Mus musculus: one gene and its partner. Each later gene encodes a partner of the first gene's protein in a complex. Links are inferred from orthologs where the notes say so. Each region holds a gene or a part of one and is shown in the gene's direction. Other genes may lie near its edges.

Region 1 (4,659 bases):
TGTGAATATGCCTGTGCCTGTAGAGGCCAGAAGCTATATCCATACCCGGGCCTGCTTTTCTCTAATGAGTAAATCTCTATGCTCCTACCTTCTGAGTAGTTTTCCGAGGACTCCTCCCAGCCATGTTGCGTACTGAGATATGCCGAGTTTCTCCGGCACATTAGGTTTTCAGGCTGTAGGATGCCAGACTTCATAGTCAATTATCACAGAGGAATCCTGCTCCTCAGATGCCCCTCACTCTGCCTTGTAAGATGCTAGAATCTCACTCCTGCTAACTTTGGAATACCCAAATAAGCACAAAATGGCTCTTATGTACTAAATTAGTATTGAGACTATGTCAAACAAACATGACTACTTGGAAGCCATTGACTTAGGAGCTCCCTGTGATGACTGCCGTGTAAAAGTGGTCAACTCTTGGTGGTAATCTCAGTGCTCTTCTGCCGTGTTAGAAGATTTTCAGTTTGTGGTGGGGTAGATTTTTCACACCCTAAAAAGGAATCCGGCTTTTGAGGTGGGTTCCTGCTATGTGGTCCTCATGTACTGATCCTTACTCTTCTCATTGTTGTGTGCTTCTCGGTTCCTTATGAAGTAAACACGCTTAAAACATGATGCTAGCGGTGGCTCGTGTGTCAGTTAAACCTCTGCTAAATTCTCTCTTTTCCAATCCTTTTCATTCTTCAACACAGTAAGCTAAACATTTCAGTTTACAACTCTGGGAAATAAATACCTTGTGTAGAATGTTCTGAGCCAGGCACTTGGGTATGTCTGATATGTGGCCCTATCTTATTTGAGGGTGAGTTAGGAACTTTGCTGGTCCTGATAGAATTCATGAAGTAATCCTAAAATTGAATATAGAACAAGTTATATACTGGGATAATTCGTTTGTCTTGTTAATTTGCTATAACCCCAGAATCACTTGGGAAGGGAGCCTCAGTTGAGGAATTGTCTAAACGGAGTTGGCCACATGTAGAAGTCAGGCCACTATAGGCACCACAGTCCCTAGACAGAGAGATTCCTGTACTGTGTAAGGAAAGAAGGCTAAATGGGAGCAAACAGCGAGGGTCATTGTCTCTGCTTCTGACTGGGTCTGATGTGAGTACTAGCAGTGCGAGTTCTGCCGTGACTTCTCTCAGCAATAGACTCTGACTTGGAATTGTAAGCCAAGTAAACCTTTCCTCCCTGAGGGTTTGGTCAGGTTGTCTCTCACAAAGACAGACAGGAAAACAGTGGAGCCATAGGCAATGCGTATCGTCATCAATTTCAAGTTGTAGTGAGCCTCAACTAGAGATCACTAACGCACAAGATCTTATTGGCAGAATGTATCTGGATACTGACTTGAGTATTTTAAGCAATTTTAGTTTTAAAATCTGAACCACAAAGCTAGGTATCCTAAATGTGAAAATATGCTACAAGAACGTGTTGACATCTAGACTGACTTTGACTTAATGAGGCTGCTTTTCCATTCTCTGTATCCCTAAGCCTGCTTGTGTTTGGACTCTAGGTCATTTACAGCAAATACACTGACCTGGTTCCTAAGGAGGTTATGAATGCAGATGACCCAGACCTGCAACGGCCCGATGAAGAGGCAATTAAAGAGGTAACGAGGAATTGATGCATGTGATGATTTTAGATGACTTTATGTCCTTACTAATTTCCAAACCACTCAACATGGTGCTTCTTGTTTCAGATAACAGAAAAGACTAGAGTTGCCTTGGAGAAATCTGTGTCGCAGAAGGTTGCTGCAGCCATGCCAGTTCGTGCAGCTGACAAGCTGGCTCCTGCTCAGTATATCCGGTATGGAAGAGTTAGTTGCATGTCAGACTCAATAGGTGGGATTTCAATAACTCTCCCCAGCCTACAAAGCCTGTTAACTCCTGCTTGCAGAAGTTCTTTAACATACACACGTTTGGATGGTAACTGTTAGAGCTGGGTGGGTGCAAATGCATAAGAAAAGTCCTTTGGGGGGGCTGGTGAGATGGCTCAGCGGGTAAGAGCACTGACTGCTCTTCCAAAGGCCCTGAGTTCAAATCCCAGCAACCACATGGTGGCTCACAACCATCTGCAATGATATCCGATGCTCCGATGCCCTCTTCTGGTGTGTCTGAAGACAGCTACAGTGTACCTACATATAACAATAAATAAATCTTAAAAAAAAAAAAAAAAAAAAAAAAAGTCCTTTGGATCTCTTAAGTCTTAGGGCTGCCAAGATTACTTGGTATGAGACCCTGTCTCAAGAAAAAGAGGTGTTAACCATTGTGATCTTCAAATGGTTATGGTTTTGATTTTTAGGGGTTTGTTTCTTTTTAGAGAATAAGCCCCTTTCCTGTTGTATATGACCCAAACCACAATTGTTTATCTTTTTTTTTTATATTTAATAAACACTTATAATGTTCCTAAATGTTGAGGGCCTTCAGTGGACTGTGTGAGGAATGCTTGGAATAGAGCAAAAAGGAAAACATGGAGTTAGTAGGGTTTTGCCTGCATGCCCAGTACCCTGCAAGGCCACAAAGAGGGATCCGCATGAATTGAAGTTGCAGGCAGTGTGATTGGATATCGGTATTGGGAATTGAACCTGGGTCCTCTGGAAGAACAGTCAGTGCTGTTAACAGCAGAGCCATCTTTCTAGCCCTGGCAATTTTTTTCCCATAATGGGGAGAGAAAGTAGGTGCTTTCGACCTGCGAAGCTGAGGAGGAGTACTTCCCAGGTGGGATGTGGAGAGGATGAGAAGGGAAGTCACTAAGCACTCGAGTGCACATCTTGTTTGTGACTCGGTTTCTGTTGCTTTTCTAGTCTGTATCTGGCTGCCCTGCCTAAATGTGTGGTGATTTTATATCAGAACTTTCTGCAGAGTTGGAAGTATGGTCACTTTGGACTGTAGTAAAAGACAAATACCTACCAACAAAGCTTGAACTAATTACACCTTTAATTTTAATCTACTTTCTTTAGCTACACACCATCTCAGCAAGGAGTAGCATTCAATTCTGGAGCTAAACAGAGGGTCATTCGGATGGTAGAAATGCAGAAAGACCCAATGGAGCCTCCAAGATTCAAGTAAGTATACTGTTTCACAAGAGTGAACTGCTGCTGTTTTAAAGTATCAAACAAGAGGGAGCTGGAGAGATGGCTTAGTGGTTAAGAGCACTGACTGCTCTTCCAGAGGTCTGAAGTTCAATTCCCAGCAATCTTATGCCACATGGTGTCTTAGAACCATCTAAAATCCAATGCCACCTTCTGGTGTATCTGAAGACAGCTACACTGTACTTACATAAATATATTTATATTTTTAAGTATCAAACAAGAAAAGTGTCCCACATGTTCATCAACAGGTAAATAGATAAGCAAACATTGGTACATCAGTACCTGGAATATTAGGCCAAGAAAAGCCTTTTCAGATGAGTCTGAAAATAATTACACTACATGAAAGAAGCCAGACAGAAACACATAATACAATGTTATGTTTCTGTGTGTATATATAAAACTCTAGACCATGGTGTCAGCTGGATGGCTCAGAGGTTAAAGACACTTTCTGCCAATCCGATGACTAGAGGTCAGTTCCTTGAACTCACATGGCATGAGACATGAACCCACTCCTTGATAGTTGTTCTCTGACGTCCACACTTCCCAGGGTACATGCATACCTACCTCACACACAGATATTAAATGAATTAATTTTAAAGAATTCTAGAAAGTGAATTTACACTTAGTTATAGACAGTCGAGTGGTTGCCCATGGAGAAGTGGGTGGGGAGAGATCTGGGTCATGCACAAGGTGAGGGGTGAGGATGCTCACTGTCTAGATTGTTACCCAGGTGACTGGGTCGTATGCGTCATGTTTAATTCATTGTGGGTCACTTTTATCAACCTGGGAGTGCATTGTACTGTGAGGTGAGTGGTGACAGTGGCCGTATTTACCAGCTGACAAAAGCAAGCCTTGTGCTCTGACTGTTTCTCTCTAATTTATTCTTCAGGATTAATAAGAAAATTCCCCGGGGACCACCGTCTCCTCCTGCACCTGTAATGCACTCTCCTAGTCGGAAGGTAATCCTGCTATAGTCAAGTCTCACTTGTGATTCTAGTTTTACGAACTAAATGGACCCAGTTAAGACTAAAGTATAGTTCGGTGTGCTTCTGAGAATGAGTCCGTGGGAGCATGCTGGCTTACCCGCAGCAGCTCGAGCTCTGAAGTCAGGGAGTGGACAGATCCTTTTTGAGTTGCACAGTTGCCGTTTTCATCTGAAAGCTGCCATATTGCCCCACTCCTCCCAGTCAGCCATGTCTAAGTATGGAAAAGTACTGTCTAACATTTCTGATAATCTGAACTCTTCTCCTTTCTTCACATTAGTGCTCCTGTGACTACAGTTCACGCCATAGTCCACCCCAGCAGAGATTTTACTGCAATTGTCGTCCTGTGTTGATGCATGTAGAGATGTCCGTGGGGAGGGTCGTATTTGGGCTTCCAGTTAGACTGTAATAAACACGTCTCTTCTCACCTGCTTTCAGATGACTGTAAAGGAACAACAAGAGTGGAAGATCCCGCCTTGTATTTCCAACTGGAAGAACGCTAAGGTGATTACCTTCATTCACACACTGTCTCCTGGGGCTGTCCCTGGGGATTGCTCAGGAAGGAGTCGGAGCCTGGGAACATTCCTTGAAGTCTTA
Region 2 (5,397 bases), on another chromosome or scaffold:
TAGACCTGGCTGTCCTGAAACTCACTCTATAGACCAGGCTGGCCTCCAACTCAGAAATCCGTCTGCCTCTGCTTCCCAAGTGCTCGGATTAAAGGGGTACACTGCCATGCCTGGCAGCTTTCAATCATCTTTTAAACTCCCACATGACTGAGACTATGCCAGGGTTTAGAGGCACAATGTTGAAAGGAACTGATTTCAGCTCTTAAAAAGCTTGTGGGCTGCTGGAAGACAAGGATACAAACAACTGGGTTGAACAGATTTGTAGGTGGGAACAGAGGGGAAAGTTTCTAGGTCTTCAAGGCCCGTGGTGACGGTACTCCTAAGCCTGCACCTCAGAGTGTGGTTGTCACACTCCTAATCTCAGCAGTCATGATGCAAGAACACCGGAAGTTCCAGGCCACACTGTCTAGAAAATCCACCCCCCACACACACACACACACAAAACCCCACATCAAATACTATCCACTCCCACTTCCGAGCAAGACTCAATAGTTCTGGATCTCCGACCCCTTGTGGATATTCCTTACAGCATTTCTTGTTTCTTCTCTGCTCCTCATGAGAATTTAAATTCCATGAGCACATCGACAAACGTATGCTGTGTCTCCAGAAAGGCTTACCTTATGCTTTAAGTAGAGTGGCACAGGAATTTATCTAAACCCAACATTTGTTTGTATGTGGTAAAACAGGATATAGACAGGAAGGCTGCAACTTTAATGCAAGATATTTTTTATGCCCATCAAACCTCTCCTAAAGATGACCTGAAACACTTGAAGTATGTAGAGGGGACTTGTTTTGTGCCTCTGCACAAAGAAAACAGAGCCTTGGGGTGGAAATAAGAACTACAAATGGGCACCTTCAGAGTGCTAGTAAAAGTCAGCTCTTCCTTACCAGTCTCTACATCCCCACCCCCACCCCTACCCCACCCCCGCATGGCTAATAGTACCGGCTTTAGAGTCAGACAGAAACCTTACTCTGACACTTAAGTGATTCGACCTTGATCAAACTGGTTTATCAGTCTTAAGTTGATAGGGACACAAGTCCAGTTAATGGCTGTAAGCCCCGCCCCCACTCACCCACCTCCCTCACCATCTACAGGAGTTGCTCCTCCCACTGGGATAGTTGGGCAGATCTGTCCCAACAGTGCTCTGCTGAGATGTGAAAGCAAAATAAGGAAGAAAAAAAACAGACCATAATAGAATTTAAATAATGTGAGAGGGGGCATCTTAGCGGGCCACCCACTTTCTCGGGACTATCTCAATTCTGGAAGACTCACCGTTACCCCGTATTTGAGTGCTAATCCAGCCAGGGTGTCTCCAGGCTCCAATTGATGCTCCAGGCGTCTTTCCCTCACTGGGGAGCAGGATGATTGTACCAGGCTTCCATAAGAACGAGCACGGCTCCCATGCAGCAGCCCTGACCCCCCGAGGGGAGGCTGTCTAGAGGGAGAAGCCATCTCCTCACTGTCAAGACCTAGGGTCACAACTGAGGGAAGCCCAGCTAAGTAACAGTGACGGCCGAACCCAAGGAATGGATATTCAGATAATTCGTTTTCTCTTCTCTCGTCTCTCTACAGTCTCCCGACTCTCGAGAGACTACATTCGTCGTCCTCCTCTTGCTGCTTCTTGCCGTGCCTGGAGTTACTGTCCGTCTCTTAAGAAGTCTGCCAGGCCGGTTACATTTCTCTTTCCACGAGCTCCTTACCCATAAGTATCTTCCCTGAGCTGTCAGTCGCTGACCCGGTTGACTTTCGACGCCCCCTCCCCAACTCCTCGCAAGCCTGATCTCTGACCTTTGAACCCTAGACACCCTCATCAACACTCTTCCCTCAGTGTATCCCCACATCCAACAGTCGGGATGCCGGGTGCTCCCACATCCTCTCTGTTCCAAATAAGGCCCACCCCAGGTAGGTTGTGGCTGAGGAGTACGAGCCTGAGGACAGCAAGAGTTTGTAGTATATAGTCCACTGAGATCCCTGACGCCTCGCTCCACATCAGGAAGGTCCCACCCTGAAATTCCGGCTCCACATACAGGATCTTGAGTCTCCGAACACCTGGATCCTTCGAGATGTGAGGTCCTGTGTCCAGGTGAGCAGTGTGCTCTTCAAAAAAATAAAAAAATAAAATAAATAACCAAAAGACTTCATTTCCCAAAAGGCACAGCGTCTCAAAGTATTGTAGGAAATGCAGGCCCCCTCAGGGCGCTGGAGGCGGGTCTTCCGGTTCGCGCGACGCAAGCGTGGAACATCATCCCCGGAAGTACAGATTCAACAAGAAAGAAACCGGAAGCAGAGAAGGCGATAGTGTACTCTTTCTACGGTGGCCTAAAGGAGCAGCGAAGTAGGCGTAGGGGAATTTATCGTAGTCTCACAGTCGCTATGTCTTTTAAGAGGGAAGGGGACGACTGGAGTCAACTCAATGTGCTCAAAGTAAGCCTTAGTGAGAGTCTGATCACCTTCAGCCGCCCTGTTGTTTTGTTTTGTTGCTCTGGCGACATCTAGGGGAGGGCTTAGGGGACCAGAACTGAGTGGTGACCCCTACTACCCTATGATCTGCATAGCCCCGTGTGCCATTTGACTCCTTATCCATACTATTTCATTTCCATCCGTCCCTCTTACTCATTTCTCCTATCCTGCTCCCTGCAGAAACGGAGAGTTGGGGACCTGCTGGCTAGTTACATCCCTGAGGACGAGGCACTGATGCTGCGGGATGGACGGTGAGAGCGAAGAGTGGATCAAGCCTGGGGATTCGGGGATCAAAGGCTCAACAAACTTTTGTCACTAAGGAGTTCAGGAGTATAATAGGACTCTTTGGCTGGAAGTGAAGTGTAAGGGGTGGAGATCGGGAAACCTGGGAGTTGGTGGTGGAGTACTCTGACAGAAGTAGGACCTACTCACCATAGCAAGAACACCCCGACTGCAGGCTCTCGAACACACAACATACACACCACACACCACACACATCATTCACTTCTCGTTTCCCTAGCTTTGCTTGTGCCATCTGCCCCCATCGACCAGTACTAGACACGCTGGCCATGTTGACAGCCCACCGTGCAGGCAAGAAGCATTTGTCCAGTAAGTATCAGAGAAGTGGGGAGGGCGGGAGATGGAGAGCAAGCCACCAGGCATTGTGCTTTTCATTCCTCCTTGCTTTTGTTCTCAGGTCTGAAGCTTTTCTATGGCAAAAAGCAAACAGGCAAGGGAACAGAGCAAAATCCAAGACAGCAGAACGAATTGAAGACAGAAAGCAAAACTGAGGTGAGAGGGCATCAGGTGTGGTTTAGACAGGGCTATACTTCACACAACAGGCTTGAGGGAACGTTTGCTCCTAACAGCTCTAACTCTGTCTCTTCATCACCAGGCTCCTTTGCTAACCCAGACTCGAATCATCACCCAGAATGCTCTACACAGAGCTCCCCACTATAACAGTTGCTGCCGGAGGAAGCACAGGTCCGTGGAATGGGAAAGCCAGGAGTGGAAAAGGGTAGAAGGAAATAGATGACTTTAAAGTTATTGCTCTCCAGATTGTATTCTGAGAAATAATAATCTTGTGGAAATATTTTTTTTAAATGATGGTAGGGGCTGGACAGATGGCTCAGCAGTTAAGAGCACTGACTGCTCTTCCAGAGGTCCTGAGTTCAATTCCCAGCAACCACATGATGGTTCACAACCATCCATAATGAGATCTGGCGCCCTCTTCTGGGGTGTCTGAAGACAGCTACAGTGTACTCATATATATAAAAGAAATCGTAAACCATCATTTTTTCAGGTTTTTTGTTTTTTGGGTTTTTTGTTTGTTTGTTTTTTGAGACAGGGTTTCTCTGTGTAGCCCTGGCTGTCCTGGAACTCACTCTGTAGACCAGGCTAGCCTCAGAAATCTGCTTACCTCTGCCTCCCAAGTGCTGGGATTAAAGGCGTGCACCACCACTGCCCGGTGGTTTATGATTTTAAAATAAATTTTTTAGCAAGTGGAAAATTGTAGAATAATCATACTTATTAGGAACATTAGGGCTTGGTGAGATGCCTCAGTGGTTAGGAACGCAGGGGGCTCTTCCAGAAGTCCTGAGTTCAATTCTTAGCAACCACATGGTGGCTCACAACCATCCAAAAGGGATCTCTTCTGGCATGTAGGTACACATGCAGACAGAGCACTCCTATATTTTAAAAAGTGCAATAAATAAATACATTCAAAAAGAGAGAATTGTAACATTAGTAGAGCACGGTGGTGTACTTTTTGTTTGTTTGTAGCCCTGGCTGTCCTGAAACCCTGCTATTTAGACCAAGGTGACCTCATATTCACAAAGATCTGCCTGCTTCTATCCCTCAAGTGTTGGGATTAAAGGTGAGCACTCCATGCCTGGCCTTGGAAAATCTTAAGACAAAAACTTAGAACCAGCCGGGCAGTGGTGGCGACGCCTTTAATCCCAGCACTTGGGAGGCAGAGGTAAGCAGACTTCTGAGTTTGAGGCCAGCCTGGTCTACAGAGTGAGCTCCAGGACAGCCAGGACTACACAGAGAAACCCTGTCTCGAAAAACCAAACCAAACCAACCAACCAACCAAACAAACAAACAAAAAACTCTTAGAACTATGTATTAGAGCATAAGGAATATGGAAAGTTACAAAACTTATGGAATATCTGTCTATATTGAGGTAATTTATTGTAATGACTTACAGTTTGTAGTCATGTTGTTGGGTTACAACAATGGGCAGCTGTGAATGAGAAGTCTAAGAATCTAATAGTTGCTCAGTCCCACAAGGCTGGTTGTTTCAGCTGGTCTTGTATAAATAGGTTCTAAAGATGTGCTTGGCAAGTAAGTGCAAGCAGTGGAAGAAGAGTGAGTCTTCCTTCTTCCAGTGGTCTTATGTAGGCCTCCAGCAGAAGGTGTGGCCTACATTAAGGCGTGTACACCACACCTGGATCTGGGACTTGCTTTGTCCCAGGCTGACTTTGAATCAGAGTTCTCCTTGCCTCCTGGGATTAAAGGCATGTTATACCTTGCCTGGACCTAAGCTTTTCACAGCCACTGTGCCTCAAGATCTCCATGCCAAGATCCAGATCAGAAGCCTGAGTCTTCCAGCCTCAAGATCTGGATCACAGGTGTGCCCCCCAATTCTGGAATTTAGTTCATTCCAGACATAGTTGACAACTAGGAATAGCCATTACAAACTATTAAGCTAGTTTTTCCTCAAATTCCTTTTTTTCTCCTTTATTTTTTATTTTATGTGCATTGGTGTTTTTCCTGCATATATGTCCGTGAGGGTGTGAGAGGTGGAGTTACAGATATTTGTGAGCTGGCATGTGGGTGCTGGAAATTGAACCCAGATCCTCTGGAAAAACAGCCAGTGGTCTTAAACACTGAGCCATCTCTCCAGCCCCAGCTTTTCTCAAGTTCCTAATTCC

What was found. Proteins that work in one complex are often made in the same cells at the same time.
Region 2: Snw1 (region 1) and Scnm1 share a complex: the UniProt entries of both Homo sapiens proteins name them as parts of the minor spliceosome. The link is inferred for Mus musculus from reciprocal best matches to the Homo sapiens genes SNW1 and SCNM1.

Annotation. Positions count from the first base shown.
Region 1 is NC_000078.6:87,458,800-87,463,458, reverse strand, and holds part of Snw1 (SNW domain-containing protein 1), read left to right. Parts: intron 1-1,501; coding exon 1,502-1,597; intron 1,598-1,687; coding exon 1,688-1,794; intron 1,795-2,947; coding exon 2,948-3,052; intron 3,053-3,968; coding exon 3,969-4,038; intron 4,039-4,500; coding exon 4,501-4,566; intron 4,567-4,659. UniProt on the Homo sapiens protein: Involved in pre-mRNA splicing as component of the spliceosome. As a component of the minor spliceosome, involved in the splicing of U12-type introns in pre-mRNAs.
Region 2 is NC_000069.6:95,130,873-95,136,269, reverse strand, and holds the start of Scnm1 (sodium channel modifier 1), read left to right. Parts: upstream 1-2,257; 5' UTR 2,258-2,374; coding exon 2,375-2,425; intron 2,426-2,641; coding exon 2,642-2,712; intron 2,713-2,981; coding exon 2,982-3,070; intron 3,071-3,158; coding exon 3,159-3,253; intron 3,254-3,356; coding exon 3,357-3,445; intron 3,446-4,243; coding exon of another isoform or gene 4,244-4,283; exon of another isoform or gene 4,284-4,464; intron 4,465-5,397. Other genes in the region: Lysmd1 (lysM and putative peptidoglycan-binding domain-containing protein 1), read right to left, coding at 1,274-1,453. UniProt on the Homo sapiens protein: As a component of the minor spliceosome, involved in the splicing of U12-type introns in pre-mRNAs. Plays a role in the regulation of primary cilia length and Hedgehog signaling.